4 linked regions of the Kluyveromyces lactis genome follow. The protein of the gene in region 4 purifies or fractionates together with the protein of the main gene of each other region. This does not show direct contact. Links are inferred from orthologs where the notes say so. Each region holds a gene or a part of one and is shown on either strand. Other genes may lie near its edges.

What was found.
Region 1: the proteins of RSP5 (region 4) and SEC7 purify together in Saccharomyces cerevisiae (affinity purification with mass spectrometry; 3 studies listed by BioGRID, with this or other methods). This does not show direct contact. The link is inferred for Kluyveromyces lactis from reciprocal best matches to the Saccharomyces cerevisiae genes RSP5 and SEC7.
Region 2: the proteins of RSP5 (region 4) and RUP1 purify together in Saccharomyces cerevisiae (affinity purification with western blotting; 4 studies listed by BioGRID, with this or other methods). This does not show direct contact. The link is inferred for Kluyveromyces lactis from reciprocal best matches to the Saccharomyces cerevisiae genes RSP5 and RUP1.
Region 3: the proteins of RSP5 (region 4) and UBP2 purify together in Saccharomyces cerevisiae (affinity purification with western blotting; 7 studies listed by BioGRID, with this or other methods). This does not show direct contact. The link is inferred for Kluyveromyces lactis from reciprocal best matches to the Saccharomyces cerevisiae genes RSP5 and UBP2.

The regions. Positions count from the first base shown.
Region 1 is NC_006040.1:1,479,890-1,484,865, forward strand, and holds the start of SEC7 (Arf family guanine nucleotide exchange factor SEC7), read right to left. Parts: upstream 3,181-4,976; coding exon 1-3,180. Other genes in the region: KLLA0_D17380g (uncharacterized protein), read left to right, coding at 4,303-4,976. UniProt on the Saccharomyces cerevisiae protein: Guanine exchange factor that acts as an activator of ARF1 at the trans-Golgi network and is thus involved in vesicular budding and traffic between compartments of the Golgi apparatus.
Region 2 is NC_006041.1:291,756-296,040, forward strand, and holds RUP1 (Rup1p), read right to left. Parts: upstream 2,798-4,285; coding exon 1,163-2,797; downstream 1-1,162. Other genes in the region: SIA1 (Sia1p), read right to left, coding at 1-603. UniProt on the Saccharomyces cerevisiae protein: Modulates the activity of the RSP5 HECT ubiquitin-protein ligase through its mediation of the interaction between RSP5 and the deubiquitinase UBP2. Involved in regulation of cell wall homeostasis.
Region 3 is NC_006041.1:219,229-224,395, forward strand, and holds the start of UBP2 (ubiquitin-specific protease UBP2), read right to left. Parts: upstream 3,082-5,167; coding exon 1-3,081. Other genes in the region: FRQ1 (frequenin), read left to right, coding at 4,019-4,591; putative monooxygenase CAT5, read right to left, coding at 4,952-5,167. UniProt on the Saccharomyces cerevisiae protein: Has an ATP-independent isopeptidase activity, cleaving at the C-terminus of the ubiquitin moiety in natural or engineered linear fusion proteins, irrespective of their size or the presence of an N-terminal extension to ubiquitin.
Region 4 is NC_006041.1:1,196,391-1,201,449, forward strand, and holds RSP5 (NEDD4 family E3 ubiquitin-protein ligase), read left to right. Parts: upstream 1-1,742; coding exon 1,743-4,202; downstream 4,203-5,059. Other genes in the region: DSE1 (Dse1p), read right to left, coding at 1-796. UniProt on the Saccharomyces cerevisiae protein: E3 ubiquitin-protein ligase which accepts ubiquitin from an E2 ubiquitin-conjugating enzyme in the form of a thioester and then directly transfers the ubiquitin to targeted substrates.

The sequences.
Region 1 (4,976 bases), on a different chromosome or scaffold from region 4:
ACCCTTTGAAATTAATTGTAAACGCTCCACTTGAGAAACGATGACTAGAATATCTTTCCAGGAGTCCTTCATGTAATTACCTTCCGAAACAGCGATTTCAAGAAGAGTTATGATTGCATATACATTCTTTATTTTTATTTCTTCAAGGTTTTGAAGATTAGCGAATTGAATTAATGCACCGACGAATGAAGCCCTTGCATAATCAATGCCGAACGTAGCAGCGATTTTGATAGAAGTTTTGATACCCTTAAGGCATAAATCAGAAGTTTCTATGTCATTGTATTCCTTGAAAGGAGGGGTCAAAGCAGCCAAGAAAGACATCCACAATGTTTCGAAAATCGATTTAACATGTTCAACGTGTGATGCAGCGTAGTACACAGTGTCCTTATTCTTGCTCAAGTTTTTGAATACTAATTCGGTCTTCGAAGAAATTTGCTTAGACACTTGGATATAGGCTTCCCTTTCATAATCCTTGCCATTGAAGAACCCAAATGAGGATTGCTGAGGTAACGCTGCAGTAGCATCACCCGAAATCATTGCTTGGTGTTGTTCCGAGAGCAATTTGATTTCATGGTTTGATATCTCTTCGAATATTTGTTCCATGTATTCCCTTGGCAAGTCCTTTCCATTGTCTATGCCTGAGTTATTCTCTATAAACTCTTCAAGAGTCATTTTCTTTTTGATCTGAGTGGAATGCAAGTCGGTATTCAAAAGAATAATCGAATATGCCAAAACATAAGCTGTATCTGCTTTAGAGAAAACATTAGGGTTTTGATCAACGAAGCGCTCAGCGAATTTAAGCATGAATCTATCAATTTTTTGTCCTTCGCCAGGTAATCTAAACTTTTGAAGGAATAATCTTAAAGCACTAACTATGGAGAGATTTGTAAATTCAAACTGATCAACAAATGCGTGCATGATAGAAATATTTTTTTCATTGCCTTCACCAAGATATTCTCCTACGGCAGATAGGTCAAGCCCATCGGTATTCAATAACCATTTTGCAATAGCAACACTGGAATCGTCCTCGATGAAACCTTTTTTTATCGACTCTGCAATTCCCTTCTTAGTTTTGTAGTTAAATAACTTCACACAATTCAACAGTTCCGTTTTCCTTAATTTAGCAGTTTCAAATTGCAGAGGGTCATCTACTTCTTCATTTGTTGTTGATTCAGATACAGAGTTTGTATCCGTGTTAGACACCGAACTGAGAGCAGAAGTTGAACGAGGTCTGTTCGAAGATAGGAGGGTTGAGGAATCTGCTCTCTGGCTCAAAGCTTTGGATTGGCTACTCCCTACCGTGTTGATCGAACTGGAATTTAGCGCTTTATGTGCCCATGAACTCAAAGATGTGAGGAACGCGACCATACATGTAAGGGCCATTTGTTTTAGAGCATAATCAACCGGAAACGGAAGTTGAGAGGAGTCAGAAGATGATGGGATATTGGAGATCGATAACAAAGGAACTTGAGTATAACTAAATGTTGCAAGCGGCTTGCTTAATGAATCATTGTAATAAGCTCTTTGTGATGTTGTCACATCTACACGTGTAAGAGCTAATTTTGTGAGGTAGTTTATGATCAACTCAACAACATTTGGCATATGACTATCACAGTCATAATTAAGATAGAATTCAATGAGCGTCCGTGGATCATTACAAACACGTTGGATAATACTCAAAAAGTATCTTTTCTGGTGATTGGTCGAAGACTTTAAATCCGCAATAGGGAAATAAATATCTGTGAGGAACACGGGAATCTCTCTCTTAAACTCAGATCTCAAGTTCGATATTATCAACCACATAATTTCTAAAGTTATCTCATACACGGGCGCAATTGGAGAGGCTGCATTTCTCGCAAGTGATAAACACAAATACTGATTGACTGCATGAACTAAGCTGACTTGCTCTTTTCCTGGAACCCTAACGTTTTGAGACAAGAAAACGTCGATATGGTCTTTTAATATTGAATGTAGAGTATGAAGAGATAAAAGTTTCGATCTTACTACATGAGATCTCATATCTAGTGAGTCTTCCAAAGGTTTTGCAGATATTTTTGCCATGGCTCTAAACAAAAGGAAAGCGTCTTTGATGGTAAGAGCTTGTTCATCAGTGATGGAGTCATCGGGTTTCTGGAAATTTTCTTCTTCGTCTACCAGTCTTTCAGTCTCGTCATTTAGTGTATCCAAATTTTGCAAAGTTAACGGATGTTCAGATGATGGAGTGGATGTTCCTCCATTGGTGGAAGCAGCATTCTTTAAGCTAATTGTTGAAAGTGATCTCTGTTGATTCAAACTTTTCACATCGATCCTATCGAAAACGGTCGTGACAATTTGGGTCAAAGTGGCTTGCGCTATGCCTTGATTGGATGAATGTAGCGAAAAGATGAAAATGTTGTAAATTTGTCTGATGGCCTTCAATAAGGAAGCGCCATGGACACAAGAAGTAGCTTCATCGATTAAGATACAACTGGCTAAACCACGTACAACTTGCAGTTCCACTCTTGAGTCTGTATTTTCCCCTTCAAAACAATCACAAATTGTGTCAATTACCGCATCAATAAGCTTTTGTTTTGGAGGTGGAGTAATTCCAATATTTTCAGGGTTCTGATCGTTTGAAGCCATTGAGTCTGGAGGATTCACTAGCAGCGATTCGTCCAAGGCTTGAAAGGAGAACAGTTTAGCGAAACAATCTAAAGCCTTTATTTGAATATCAATGATCTTAGATCTGCAACATGATCTTAACGCTTCAAAAACGAGCAACGAGTCAATTTCTACCGAAGTTCCGGTTGGCGCTGCTGAGGTTTGTTCTAGGGACTTCAAAGTCCTTTCTATATCTTTCTGACAACTCGTAAGTTTCTTAAGTTCTTTGGATTTCATTATGGATTCCAACGTTGATTTTACAAACAAAACAACCGATTTAATGTTCGCGTTATTCATAGATACAATTGACGCATTTCTAGCATGGGCCGCTCCCTCGGTGTTACTATTTACAGTTTTATTTGCTGATGGAGATGGCGTCACATCAACATCAGGCACATCAGGGGTGTTGTTCTCCACGTTCGCATCAGCGTCGGTTACCGAATTCACATTGATATCAACAGTCGTGGTCGAATCTAGGGCTTGTATATCACGTTCCTCAGCAATTGCTGGGTTCGTGCGGTCCACAGGTTCTTCTGACATGTTTGGCAATATTTCTTCGACAGCACTGCACCTTAGTGTGTATATAATCACCTCCGTAATCGTTCCACCAAATACGATATTATGTATACTTCTTTCTGAATCTCATTTAATTTCAGATATTTTTTTTCTTTCCTTTTAAGGTGGATGGCTGGCTCCGTTTTTCCCCTATAATAGGAGAATTGGCTTGAAGATCTGCTCTCTGAAGTCTTTCTGAAGTATAAGTGATTAAGTAAAGCAGCTGAATGATGTTACCAGAATGTTCAGCCAAGAGGCAGTGATATAAACCGTAGATACTTGCTACAGGAAATGGATCTGGAAACTTAAGTTTAGTTCTACATTGTATAATTTTATAAGCCTCTTCTGCTGTGTCGAGCACGTGATTTGTTGATCACGTGATTAGAATCATCTATGATGAGAATTATCTATTGGAGTAACCTCTTTTATAGCACTTCATAGCCCACAAAGGGACGCCAAATTTGGTATATTCTGGAGCATTTGTAATAATTTCCAAACTTACAATCTGAATTTACTTTTCATATCTCTACTTTGAGTTTGGGACCTCAAATCTCCGTTGGCGACCTTAGTGATTGAGAATAACAACCTAAAAACAAGTAAACAGATTGCATGTATGTCAATTAGTGCGGTTAACTAACACCTTCATGTGTAAAGCATCTATCTACCCATATGTATGTATACATATCTCCATAGGAGATATTTAGTCGTTGTTTTCCCTGTTTAATACTGGCGGTGCTGACATAATATGCTGTACCATTTTCCTCCGAAGGAAATCCGTCGGAGGAAAATTGACATGCGTCAGTTAGTGAAACAAAAACGTAGATAGCGTGTGATTAGGATAACAAAAAGAGGTACGGGAGATAGAAAACGGAAAGCTCGAGCGATTTGTATAGTTTCGAGTGCATGGGAGCCTAGTTATCTTTGTGTAAATTATTACAGGATATATTATCCTTCAAAATCTATAAAAGAAGAGCGTTTGTCGAAGAAGAAGAACTTAGTTTGGATAAGGTTCAATTAAGTAATGCATATAGTAAACACATCTATAAGTATCAAGATTAAATCAAAAAGTATCAATCATTAAGGATATTGTGAAATTATCAACTAAAGATGAGTCCAATCGCCGTTACCCGTAAGGAAGTAGAACAACACATCAAAGCGACACCAGTTAATGATGTCCTTTTAACCACCTACCCAGAAGATTCCTCTCCTATCCCATTGAACTGGGGTGCTGCTGATTGTCAAGAAAGGGGTCCTGTGGTTCCATCAAGAAATAAAAGTGGTATCTCTAAACACAATTGCATCGGTGCTCATGCTGGTCCATACTGCATCTATAATGCTTTGGCCATTGGTTCAAACCAGTTAAAACGCGACCATATTCCAGACTATACCAACGCGCAACCTGTGTTTACAATCCCAGAACAGCCATCATGGTTTAACAACCGTGATATTGTATCGATGGATCCTTTTGGTCACTTAACACCTTATTTGTTTGATGATGTTGCTAAGTCTGCAAACGTGGATATCAGACCAACTATTGCCATCACCAAGGCAACCATGCAATTGCTTGAGTTGAAAGAGGCCGTTGATAAAGGCGAATTGAAAATCGACGGTAATATCATTGTCAACTCTAACGGTGACCTAAGTGTTTCGAAGATTGCCGTTGAACCTGTTTGGTATTTACCAGGGGTCGCTGAAAGATTTGGAATCACTGAAGAAGAGTTAAGAAAATGTTTATTTGAGGATACAAATGGTATGTACCCAGAATTGATCACTAGACCCGA
Region 2 (4,285 bases), about 900 kb from region 4:
CTTACACCAGATCCCATCACCCCTCCAAAACCAATCCTCTAAATGGTTTCCAAACTTCGCAGACCACTTCATATCGGGATTGAATCGATTTGACGAGTCATCTTTGACATAGAACTCATTGTCCGTATTAGAATGAACATGGTACCCGTCGATATCATTATTTTTGATCTTGTTATACCGTTCATTAGCTAAACCCAACGGAAGTCCATTTCTACTCAAAGCAAGATCTACTACAGCCGATCCACGTTCGTTTGGGTATAAGGGCTGCCAATAAACATAACTTGTCCACCCAAAGCCTTGTCCAATAGAGGTGTCTTGCATCTTCCCCATATCGATGCGATACCACGTGACTAAATCATCCTGTAAACTGTAATCCCAAATCGCATCGCAGTTGCTAAACCAAGAATAACATTTGGATATCCTAACATCTCGTACCTTGATCCCAGTGTCTTGTAGTGATCCCGACAATTTAAGGTCTGGTGCTTGCACCAACCAGTTCTTCAGATGCCTTTGGATCAAACTCCATGATGTTATAAATAGGAAACAAATCCATACAAGAAAGAATCGCCTTGCATAAAGTAAGATCCTTCTATTACGAAACATGGTTCGTGAGAGGAATTGTCACGAAATAGCACACGTAGACACTCTTTACCTCTCTTACACCGCTAGATCTAATTGTATCAGGTATGCTAAGTGTTCAGAGTCAAGATATACCAAGCTAAGGCCAAATTTATACATTTGGTATATATATAGTAAATTGAATTAGTATAGTTTATATTTATAAATTATTTCAAAATCACAGATTTCTTCTAGAAACCGCCGGAGTCAGACCCATTTTCCAGTGGGCAGATTCCTTTTATTCTATTTCTGTACTTTTGTCTGCAAGAAAGAACTAACTACAGGCTTTTTTTTTTTTTTTTTTTTGATTCTTTAGCTTTTTTTGGGTTTGAGCTTTTTTACGACCAATTGTGAGATTATTCTGTAAGAGATGTCCGCTTTCTATAAATAACAAGCGGTTGAGAAGCAATGCAACGAATGGCATCTGCTTAGTGCATCTTGAAGCAGGCGCCAATGGTATCCAGGTCATCTAGAAGGAGAAAACTCTATTTTATTCTCTCAGTAAAACATGTATGATTATTATAGGTATACGCATTTCATGCGTTTACGGTGACTGTTTATAATTAACGTACGTAGTGTGCTCTTCTTTGAGGAAATTTGTTAGGGTTTCATTTTCGGAAATGGAAGCCAGAATATCTTGCGGTGCGTCAATATGGTCTTTTTTAATGTAAACGAAAAGGATTGGAGTCTCGGATGCATGTCTTGTGTGTGATTTTGTTATATCTTGAGTTTCCTGCGCTGTGAGTTCCTCTTGAGTGAGGCTGCTTGATCCAAACTCAATGATATTCCTGATATACTGCAGATTGTTGTTGCCAGTTTCCATGCCGGTATTACCATCGTCAGCACTGATTCCACGTGCAATTATGTAGTCGTTTGGCGAAAATACCACTAGCCGGAGTAGGTACGGCTCATCAATGATACCAACCTGTTTTGCCAGATCGATTATCTTTTCAGATGGTCCTTCAAAGGATAACAAATCGATTTGTCTTTGAGTTTCTGTATAATCGGCCATCATTTCACGTTTCTTGTTCGATAGCTGGTACTTGATTTTTTCTAAAGTGTCAACCAACTCTTTTGATTTATCTTCGTCTCCTAATGGAATTTCTTCCAAGTAATTGATGGAACTGTTCAAGAAAGAGCTGATCTGCTTCCCCTGAAACGATTGCAAGGATGACATTTGGTCCACTTTCAACTTATTAGTATTCCTTAAGGCATCAGTCTCCTCGAGGACAGGGACGACCACTTTTTCCAAAGCATTCTTGGTATACAGTTGGGGGTAGAACTCGATGGGGATCTGTACTCCGTGGGAAAGGTTCACTTCTTCAGTTGTATCGTCCATGTCATCGAAGATGATAGTGAACACGGGAGCCAGGAAATCAAAGGCATTCTCTATTTCGTATCCCCTCCCAGAATCTTCTGGCAAGAGCATCGGATTGAACATCTCATAAAGTGTATAAGCGTAGTTTTCCGGTGAAAAATTTAATACGGATAAAGAAGTGGGTTGGAAAGGCTCTAATACGTTTGGTCTGTGGAGTGCTTTAGAAAGGAATAATTTCGAAGTAGATTTATCGTCTTTCAAACACAAATCCATATCATTGTGTAAGTTCTTGATGAATTGCGGGAATACTTCTGAGAGGTGGTCACACTCAGAGAGGGCTCTGGACACGTTGAAATCTGTACCCTTATTGATCAATTCGGATGCAACGAACCTTCTCATCGATTCTGGATCGTTGGCTATGCCTATCAATAGTTGCATCCGTGGGATCAATTCCGGTTGCATTTCCAAATATTCACTACCGGTCAACTCTCTCTTATGAATCAAAAGAGGACCCGCATTCCTATGCACCAATCTGTAATCAGATTGTACCAACTCTCCTTTGAACCAATGTGGGTTATACACTAATTCCTTAAAATCCACATTGAGAAACTTCGTCGGCACGTTCACAGCCATACAGAGTGCAAACAACGGGAAGTAAGACTCCAACAATGCACTAGACCCCTTTGGTAAGATCCCAACCAATTGAGAAGGATCCTTTTTCCACCAATGCTCAATGGTGGTATTCAACAAACTATTTGGTAACCTGCTGGGCAGTGATGTGATGCCGTCATTTGAACTAGAATCGCTGTCCACGGCATCGAGCTTCCGTAACAATTCTTCCTGGTCGAATCCGCTCTGCATATGGTAATCGTTATAGCTGTAATGGCAATGGCTGCTCGCTACTTACATCTTACGTTTTAAGACCCCTTATACCCTTATAAACGATACTCTCTGTATATTATTTCCAGTTAAAATTTCAACTTTCTACAAAGGAAAAATTCATCATCCAGAGAAAAGTCAACGGATCTAGAAGGTATCGTTGAATACCGGTAAAGGGGAAAATGCTGAAACTGTTAACAGATGAATCAGATCAGCTAAAAGAATTCCTGACATAGAACTGAATTACTTAGGCAAGAAAGGAATGCGATTTTTTTTTCTTTTCTAGTTATTCGAGAATGCAGGCAGAACAGCGTCATTCATTCAACTCTTTGTCCTGGATGAAAGAATGTTGCATGTTGCAACTTTGTAGGATGTACTAATAAGGTAAAAACCTTAAACAATGCAAAATCTCCAAGAAGATAGAATAAAGTTCCATATTTGCATTGTCTACGACAAACCAGTATGAAGCTCATTAATTGAGATGTACATAATCATTTGGGTATATAGGATGCAAAGATGTGGGCAAGATGTAAATAGACGGATACATCCGATTCTACACCACAGTAACGTCTGCACAGCACGCTTGAGACAACAGGCACCTCGCCGGATACCCCTTGCCAACTTCATTCAACCTATTGCTAGCTTTGCACTCTTCAAACTGCAGCACTTTTAAGATCGAAGAAAGGAAAAAAAAAGGCTGAACAGGGTAAACAGAGTAATATAGAGTAAACACACAAATTCCCCTAAGGATTGCGTATAACAAAAGCTCACATACAATGCGAGTTTCGGCTCAGCAGGCTCCCCGAGCTAGCTACTTAGCTAGCTACCCAGATAGCTTCCTACCTGGAATATGCGATTCGTTCCTTTCGTTTCCTTTCCCTTGCGTCACTTACACCCCAGTTCAATTCGCACTGAGGATCTCTAGGCATTTAGACTTGGAAACATTTTTACGATCGAGATCTCTCAGAAGGAACCAGCGAAAAATCGTAGCCAAAAGAATATATACAAGAAACGTACTGCCACACAAGCCGGGGCCCACACACGTCCAATTACAACCTATCTAAATAATCCTTCCACAATCTGGTACTTTTCCATGCGGGAATCCTTCCCCCCCCCTACTGTATTCTTGATTAGGAACAGAAAATCTGTCGCAAGAATCAGAATGGACTTGCTACACCATTCCTGAAGAAACGGTTTTTTTTCGAATTTTTCGAACTCTTATGTATCTCGAAAGATTTCCTTCTAGACTGTCTAGAATTCCCTCTGATGGGGGAACCTTAAAACTTCCCCTATTGCCTCAAATCCTAAGAGACTCTCCCGTTCTGCAAGTGTGTAAGCTGTATTCTGTGTCTGTTTTTTTTTTCCCCTTTGCTGTTTGAAAGGGTACGCACTTGCCTACTCGTTATTGTTACTTTATGCATATCGAATATTTTCACACACACGCATGCACACAATGAGAAAGAAAAAGTC
Region 3 (5,167 bases), about 980 kb from region 4:
AGCCATATATCTATCCATGTACAACGTTTCGCCGAAAGGTAGCGGCTCGATAGACTTGAAAGGCATGAATTTTTCTCTATCATAATAGACTCTCTGGATTTGAATTTGTAGAACCGCAGGTAACTCTGAGATAGATACAGTTCTCTTTACATCACCATACTCCTCCAAATTCAAATAGTCATTCTGAAAGTAAAAATCTAAAGCATCATAAATATCCTTTGGATGGTCACCGGTGTTAACCAATAAGGATAAAAACCTTTCATATTTTGTCCGGACAGAAGCCTCATCATTGACTGGTATCAAGTCCTGTTTAATTCTACCGTAAAACAACTGTTTGACAAGATCATTCTGTTCCAAGTCGTCTTCCAAGCTCAAAGGTTCTGAAGCAATCTCAAGCTGAGCCAAGACGTTACCTATACATTCTGTAACATCTTGTTGTCTTCCGATCTCCAATGTATTTTCAAGTTGGTCCGCACTGATTTTAGCAACTTGGACGGAATATTGCTGTGTTCCTGCTTCTGACGATGTTTTATGTTCGGGGAGCGCAACCGGGCTCTGGCACATTATGATATCATCATCACAAGACGCTAGGTGACGAGTAGTATCAGTGGGGTCTTCGACGACGTCAGTTGTTAAGTCGATGAGTTCTTTCTGGGCAACAGTATCGTCACCGAACTCCACCTCGACATTACTCGGAGCAAAGGCTAAGTAGACCAACTCTTTTGTGGGCGTGACGCATCTACTGTTTGTGTGGATCATGTCATTGAACAAATCACGAAGATGGTAGACAAACTGGACCGATCTAAGCTCTTCTTGTTTGCTGACCTCCCTGCCTCCAATTCTTCTTCTAGAGTGATATTCAGACGCATCCAGTAATTTAGCAGAGTCATCATCATAATTCAAAATAAAATCACGTAGAGGTTTGATAGTGAAAAAGAATTGAAGTAGTGAGTTTAGGTAGCATGTATTTCCCACATTATTGATTCCAGCTGGCCATGTAGCAACAGGAAGACAACTTACGTCCACAATACCGGTGTCTAAAAAGTGGTTGATAAGTTTACTATTTCTAGTAAAACCAATATTCTGAAGGGCCATTTTCAACTTCAATAGATAATCAGGACCTGTCATAATTCCGTGACTCCATTTCTTTTGAAAAACTTCAAGGATGACATCGTCGCTTGCATTCATGTCAATTTCAATGATGTTCAATGCTTCATCGTATGATATGTCAGTGCAGTTGTAATATTGCGCAAATTCTGGACATTCATCTGTCAAGACATTCAAAAGAAATATTGAGCGCCTATCTAGTGCTATTGTAAAAATCGCCCGATCATAATCTTTTTTCAAACCAGGGGCATCAGCAATATTGATCGTATATGCAGTTTGGATAATATCATCATCTACTGTCTCGTCTACCTTTAAAAGAGTGTAAGCTTGTTGTACATTATAATATGGTTCATACTCCACCAAAAACAACATCTTTTGACTACCTAAATATTTTCCTAGCACACGTAGGGCATTTCTTAGATCTTTTCTTTGATTATCAGAGCTCCTTAATAGATGAGAATTGTAATATTCAATCATCGTATTGGCATCAAGGAGGCTTGCGTCAATGTCAGTTGGATCTAAACCAAATACCTGTAATGCATTATTCAAATCTTCATACCCAACAACATCTTGTTTTCCACAGTAAGCAATAAGCTGGTAACTACCCTTTGCGTTTGTTACATATTGGAGAGCATCAAAATAATGGCTGATGTTTTCCTGATCAAGTGCAATTTGAGTTTCATAGTTTTTAATGATATCCTTATCGATGTACTTAAAAGCAACAGATAGGTTAATAAAATGGTAATTTATGTCGTAGGGGAATGGTTCAATGTGTTGGTGGTTCAAAATATTGAACCACCATGTGTGACTGGCACTAAAATGTTGATTAGAAAAGCACTTTGCCACTGTCTTCTTTTCAGTACCAAGTTCATTTTCAAGTAGCATCGACTGCTTACCAATTAAAACAACCTCCATGGATTTTCTGGTATACGCCTCTCTAATCCCTCTGACCTTAAAATCTGTGATATAATCAACTAAATCTGGTGGCTTATATTCCTCTCCAGATTGGACATTATCTTCTACAGCGGTCTTCTGCAAACTGAAATCAAACATTGTCGTTAACCAGTCAGTATTAATTTGTGAGTTGAGTGCAACACTATCCCTGGAAATAATCTTAAACTCACTATTAGCAGATTTCCTCTGTAATGGGTTCTTAAATATCATGAAAAGAGTTTTCAAACACTCGGCTTGGCTAGGAATATCGTCCGGGTTCAATAAATCAAATTCTTGACATGCATTTTTATATCTTTCCTCAATTTTTGCTGTTCGATATTCAGCTAGGTTCTCTGAATTAAATTCTGGTTTTATTATCTCAACAAGTATAAGTTTATTAGTATCAGCAGAAACAAATATACTTTGGTCTACTAATCTACAGTCTTTCTCTTCCATTATAAAGATATCCCTTTTGTCGAATGGATGTAAAGATTCAGGCTCTAAAACATGATAATGAGTTATCCCAACGTGTCTATTGAAATTTTCCAAGTATGATCTCCTTTTCACAGTAATCTTCAAATGAAAGAAGTATTCAGGAAACTTGTCAATGTCATCAAAGTCATTAGGAGTAAAATTCGGATCTACCAGCAATGCGAACATAACACTGATGGTATTCTTCCCTGGACAAGTCATTGAATCATAATCATATCTGCTTCTCAAATTAACCTGGTCAATTAAATGCACTAGGTTCCACGGTTGCAATTGCTGTCTTTCCCTCGAGTACTGAAGCATTGGTTGTTTCATCACAGATGAACCAAACTTCTTCAAGAACCATGGTGAAATCCTAATGTCATCTAAAATTCGATCGCATGTTTTGAACGGAAAACTTTTCGAAATATCTCCGTACAAAAGCGTCTTACCATCGTCTACTAAATCTGAAAATGATTCCAACGACTTAGATCTCAGTACTTCTGCTGTTTCCGAAACAGAATCTCTCTGTTCGCCATTCAATTCTAAAGCTGGTTCTTGTGAAGCCATCATCAATTCGAGATTCTATTCTCTGCCAAGCTATCCTCAAATTGTCACAATATACTGTAGCGTGTCAAATGTATCAGAATTGAATCACTGGGAGTATTAGAACGAGCCTAGAAGTGGCAAATAGATATTTTTAATTATGCATTTGCCAAAGGATTGAAGATCTAGTTTTCCTTAAAATTTAATGCAATTACTATTCTGATTCTACTTAATTCTTTTGTTACCCTTTAAAATTTGTCAATAGTGGAAATCTGTAGACAGAACCACAATGAGTGTGTGGTGTACGGATTTATACTCACAGTTTTAAATTTAAACGCATTTATGGCGGTACAAAGGGCATTAAAATGAGTCAAAAAGGGCCTCTATTCAAATTACCTATGCCCTGTTTGATGTAACAGCATTGCTATTATTCCGAAAAGACTGAAACAGCTTTACAACTTGTTTTTCTGAGTACTACGTAAACTATAATTTATAACTCAATGTAACCTATTCAACCTTTGAATGTTGAAATAGGTTCATAAAATCCAGAACTTTAAAACGCAGTCGTTGAGTTAAAAAGAGGAAAAATAGTTCGATCAGTGGCACCGCTTCATAGTGAGCATCTGAAGAATTTTAGTAGTCGTTACTTGAACACCAACAAGCAAAGTAGAAGAGGAACGGTCATCTCTGTCACTGTTTCTATCGTTACTTTTAGAGAATCATCTATGACGGACTTCACAAGCCACTTTCCTACAACGAAATCTGTAAACTGCAGAAGAGAGAAAAACATAATTAAAAAAAAACCAATATAAAAGATGTTGCATGAGGAGTTGAAAAATTTAGGGAGGAAGAGCTTCAGGGTCTAGTCAATATCTTTTCCGAAACTGATCATAGGTAGCTTATAGTGGCGTTTGATCACAGTAAGTGTTAAGATATATACTATCCATGGAATAACAATAATAAGATGGGAAATAAAACGTCTACACTTTCAAAGAATGATTTGACCAGTTTGAAGCAATCTACGTATTTCGATCGCAGAGAGATCCAACAGTGGCACAAAGGGTTTCTACGGGATTGCCCGAACGGCCAGCTAACTAGAGAAGAGTTCATCAAGATATACAAACAATTTTTCCCCTTTGGCTCGCCAGATGAGTTTGCTACGTATGTGTTTAGCGTGTTTGACAAGGATAATAATGGATCCATTGACTTCAAAGAATTTATCACAGCATTAAGCACCACTTCCAGGGGCTCCTTAGAGGAAAAGTTAGTCTGGGCTTTCCAACTCTATGATTTAAACCACGATGGCGTAATTTCATATGAAGAAATGTTGACCATAGTGTCAAGTATTTATAAAATGATCGGGAACATGGTAAAACTAAGTGACGATGAAGCTACTCCAGAGTTAAGGGTAGAAAAGATCTTTAGGCTTATGGATAAAGACAAAGATGGTTGTATTACGTTAGATGAATTTAGAGACGGATCGAAGGTCGATCCATCTATAGTAGGGGCATTGAATCTTTATGATGGATTGGTATGACCCTTGTGTAACCTGCTTCCATACAACTTACTTAGTGTAAGTTTTCAACGGTTGCACGGCAATTAGGCGGGGGCACTTTTTTTGGCTTGAAGTTGTTAGTCTTAAAGTCATATTCATACTGACTGTTTCTTTTAATGTGCTCTTTTTTGATAATGGAGCATGCGGTTCTCTTCCTGAAACATTGATTTACGTTAGTTTCCAACGTGTATGGGTGTAACTATATCATCAGTGTAATATATACGTTTGTATACGATACTATAATACTTCTCCAATCTGTATATATAAAACCAAATATGCCTTATCACGTATTCATCACGGTTCATTAGAAAGGGTTAGCGTACTGTCAGAAGGGCCAACCATTCACACACGTTCCGCTGCCCAAATCGCAACTCTGCAAACAGTCTTGATCCCCTCCGTCAAAAGAATGTATGGGACTGCCTTATGCGAATCGTAATCAATAGCTGTTTGCAAATGTTCCAATTCTTCGTCTCTGAATTGTTTGATAGTAGCTTGTAAATTTTTCAATTCTACAGTTTGTCCAACTTTAGTTCCATCTTCTGATTCCAATTCATATTG
Region 4 (5,059 bases):
CAAACAACGAATCGTTAATGACAGAGGTGAAATGATGCTTGTTCCAGGTCTTCAAATGACGAATTGGTTTTGAACGACTTGTGTTATAAATTTGCGTAGCAAGATCAACACTATCCATGCTATCGGTGATCACTTTCAAATGTTTGGAATGATTGAAACGTCTTAGAATTTTGGCGTTCCCATTCTCGATTGAAGTTGCAATTAAGTTCACATATCCATCAGAGTGTCCTGAAAGTAAGATTCTGTCATGGACTTTATCATCGAAGGAAACTACGGTGTCATTATTCTGCGATTGCATGATATCTGTAGCCAGAATAGATTTTCCTGGAACAGTAATGGTTTGTAAACTATGGAGCAATTTCCCACCGCGAGCCTGCTCATTAATTTCATTATTCCGCAATTGGAACAACTGTAAATTATCCGATGTCTGTGATGTGGAAAGTAGAATGGTGTCCCTATCCAATGACATTGAAGTGACGTCCCTAGTGTCTTCTGACAGTTTCCAACAATCTGTCTTCAATTTTTTCGTGACAATGACATCGTTCAAATCACCACTAACCTTCCTTAGCAAGGAACTGTTCAATTTCGAAGCCTCTATCTTGCAATTCCGCCTGACAATAGTACTGTTCTCGTCATCGCTAATATCTCTTCTACTCTTCTTGACGATGATGGCGTTCTGTCTGAATATCTCTGGAGCCCTGTAGAATTCAGTCATAATTTTCGCAATATACAGTTTCTTATTTGACTTTGTGTAATGTTTGCACTGCAGAGAATAATTGATTGTTAACAGGTACATCCATTAGAGGAGTAAGAGCTGGTCACTTTTAGAAACGACATGTTTATATATGATACAGGGCAAATAAAAATAGCACTAGCAAACACTGAGCCAATCAAAAATAGGACCAAACGCAGAACAAGCAACAAAAATTAGAGAAAGGCACGTTACCTATTGAGTGTGTTAGGCAGCCATATGAGCAAACATCCTGTTTATGTTTGCAAGAGGTTTGTTTACCTGTAAACAAACCCAGCATCTTTAAAGCTGGCAAAGGCTTGTTTATATTTATGTCATTTTGGACGATATGATTTTTGTCACGTGATGCCCATAATCGTCCCATATGCACGTCATCTGACAGCAATACGGCAGATTCTTGCAACCTGGTGGCTACCACCGCCATTAATGCCGTTTCCGAATTTACTGACATACTCGGCGTAGCCTGGTATCCCTCTTTAGTACTCTTTTTCCAGGTTTCAATCTCCTCACGTGACAAGTAAAGGAGAAAAGAAAATTGTGATTTGCATATTTTAATTAAGGAAACAAAACAAGAACAAAGATACTTTACTTGCAAACAACATCCGATTTAATCATCAGATCAAGGTGCTAGAGGATAAGCAAACGTGCATTGACAGTGGCAAAAAGGACGGTACGGAAAAGGGTATTGAGCAAGGTATTGATCTGATTTTTCTTTGCTTCTTTTTAGAGGAATCATCAACTTTTTTTCTGGTTCTGTTTCCTGTTCTGTTTCTTTGCAATTACGACAATTAAAGAAGACAAAAGACAAAAAATAAAACCTTATAGGCTTTCTCGGGCGGTTTTATTTGTTTAATAATTATTGCTGTTACTACCACTTATCAGATATCTAGTGTTTGAAGACTTTTCAATTTGTTATTGAGATTCCACTTTGAAGGAGAAATTATCGGATTTGAAATTGACAAACCATTAAAAAAATAAAAAGCTGCGAAATATGTCTATCTCTGTGAAACTAGTGGCTGCTGAGTCATTGAACAGGAGGGATGTGTTTAGATCTCCTGATCCGTTTGCAGTTTTGACTATCGATGGTTCTCAGACGAAATCCACAGCGGCTGCAAAGAAGACGTTGAATCCCTACTGGAATGAAGTATTTCAATTCAAAAATGTGAGTGAAAATTCGATCTTAACTGTTCAAGTGTTTGATCAGAAAAAGTTCAAGAAGAAAGATCAAGGGTTCCTAGGTGTTGTCAACGTTCGTATTGGTGACATTCTGGGTCACTTGGACGAAGATACTGCCACTTCGAACGGTAGAGCTCGTGAAGAGACTATTACTAGAGATTTAAAACGTTCTAACGACGGGTTGTCAGTAAGTGGTAGAATAATATTGGTTTTGACGGTTCTCCCCAGAGCTGGCAGCCGTAATGGAGCTGCTGGTGCCGCAGGTAGTGCTGTTGCTGGTTCCGGAGCAGCTCGTCAATCGGATTCGATGACGAACGCTTCCACTATCGACAACAGATTGATTGCTCAGACTGTTGCTAACAACTTGCAAACTACTACATTAGACAACCAGGATTCTGCGAATGCTGCAGGTACCGCCAGTTCAGGTTCAGGTGCCGGTTCAAGTGATGCTGCTCCATCCGGTCAACCTTCGACAGCTCAATCTCAATCGTCAGCTAGCAGGCAATACTCATCGTTTGAAGATCAATATGGTCGTTTACCCCCAGGATGGGAAAGAAGAACGGATAACTTTGGAAGAACATATTATGTGGATCATAATACAAGGACAACAACATGGAAAAGACCCACTTTGGATCAATCCGAGGTTCAACGTGTCAACACCGAACTAGAACGTAGACAACACAGAGGAAGAACTTTACCTGATGGTGGTGCTCAATCAGAGGGCTCGTCTTCATCAAACGTTGCTGTTCATACCGGTACTGGATCTCAAACTCCTGCCGTAAACGGTTCAGCAGCTGCTACTTTTGCTGCCACTGGGGGTACCACATCGGGGTTGGGTGAACTTCCACCAGGTTGGGAACAACGGTTCACTCCTGAAGGAAGAGCGTACTTCGTTGATCACAACACAAGAACCACGACATGGGTCGATCCAAGAAGACAACAATATATTAGAACCTATGGGCCTTCCACAAATACCATACAACAACAACCTGTATCTCAGTTAGGACCTTTGCCTTCTGGTTGGGAGATGAGATTGACAAACACAGCCCGTGTATACTTCGTTGACCATAACACTAAGACCACCACTTGGGATGATCCTAGATTACCTTCTTCCTTGGATCAAAACGTTCCACAGTATAAGCGTGACTTCAGACGTAAGGTTATTTACTTCAGATCCCAACCGGCTTTAAGAATTCTACCAGGTCAATGTCACATCAGAGTACGCAGAAAGAATATCTTCGAAGATTCTTACCAAGAAATAATGAGACAAACGCCAGAAGACTTAAAGAAGAGACTAATGATCAAATTTGACGGTGAAGAAGGTTTAGATTATGGTGGTGTTTCAAGAGAATTCTTCTTTTTACTATCACACGAGATGTTTAATCCCTTCTACTGTCTATTTGAATATTCTGCCCATGATAACTATACTATCCAAATCAATCCAAACAGTGGTATCAACCCTGAGCATTTGAACTACTTCAAGTTCATTGGTAGAGTCGTCGGTTTAGGTGTATTCCATAGAAGGTTCTTGGATGCATTCTTCGTTGGTGCTCTATATAAGATGATGCTAAGAAAGAAGGTAGTATTACAAGATATGGAAGGTGTCGATTCAGAAGTCTACAACTCCTTGAAATGGATTTTAGAAAATAGCATAGATGGCATTTTAGATCTAACATTTAATGTTGATGATGAAAGATTTGGTGAACTGGTTGTCGTCGATTTGAAACCAAACGGCAGAGAAATCGAAGTCACAGATGAAAACAAGAAAGAATATGTTGAACTATATACCCAATGGAGGATCGCAGACAGAGTTCAAGAACAATTTAAGGCATTTATGGATGGATTTAACGAATTGGTTCCTGAAGATCTAGTCAACGTGTTTGATGAACGTGAACTTGAATTATTGATTGGTGGTATTGCAGAAATTGATGTTGAAGACTGGAAAAAACACACAGATTATCGTGGATACCAAGAGTCTGACGAAGTTATCCAGTGGTTCTGGAAATGTATCACTGAATGGGACAACGAGCAAAGAGCACGTTTGTTACAATTCACAACTGGTACATCGCGTATCCCGGTCAATGGATTCAAAGATTTGCAAGGTTCTGATGGTCCAAGAAGATTCACTATCGAAAAAGCAGGTGAAGTTCAACAACTACCCAAGTCACACACTTGTTTCAACAGAGTGGATCTTCCACCATACACTGATTATGAATCTTTCAAGCAGAAGCTAACATTAGCAGTGGAAGAAACCATCGGATTTGGACAAGAGTAGTTGAATGAATCTTTCAATCTTTTCAATACCCTGCACCTTCTCAATTATTCAATCAGAAAGCGCAAGCACAAACACAAGCACAGACATATATATGTTATAGATATATTGTTGCCAAAACATGTGTATATTATTACATAGAAATTTTTTTCTTAACCTCGTTAGGCCTCAACTTATGGTGCTTTGTTATATTTTATTGCCATTATCAGGTGTTACTTTATATAGGTATGCTATAATGTGGGAAGCAATTGACAACGAAGTATCTGGTTCCTAACCGACGGAGTTTTGTAATTGCCCAGAGATTGATATATCCAGCTTAAATTTTGGGATAATAACGAAAATTAGCTGCATGGAGTTGATAGTATTAAGACCGGGTTCTTAAATGAAAAGGGTTAAGTTGTAATTATATATATGATAATTATGATAGAGGACAGGGTAAAGCTTATAATAAAATAATTTAAATGAGTGAATTGAATGAATTTATTGTATATTGTATAATAACGAGCGACAACAATATATTTGAATGCAATAATAATGAAAAAAGATGTTAACCCATAAACGTTTCGGTGGCTTAATGTTGTAGTTTTTTTTTAAAAGTTGTGGCTTAATTGTTACGGATCTTTCATGAATCGGCCTATTTCCTCTCACTATGACCCTTTTTTTGACCTGGTATGTAAGTGAAGAGAGTGTAATCACAATCTTTGATTGAATGTAAAGATTGATTCTACACCGAAAGATCCCACAATTAATACCTTGGTATTCTATTTTTTTTTCCTTTTTAGTGCAGTTTAAAAATGCTTAATAAAACAACCTGTTACCATTCAGAATGACATTCATAAGTCGTGACCTATTTCCCCTGT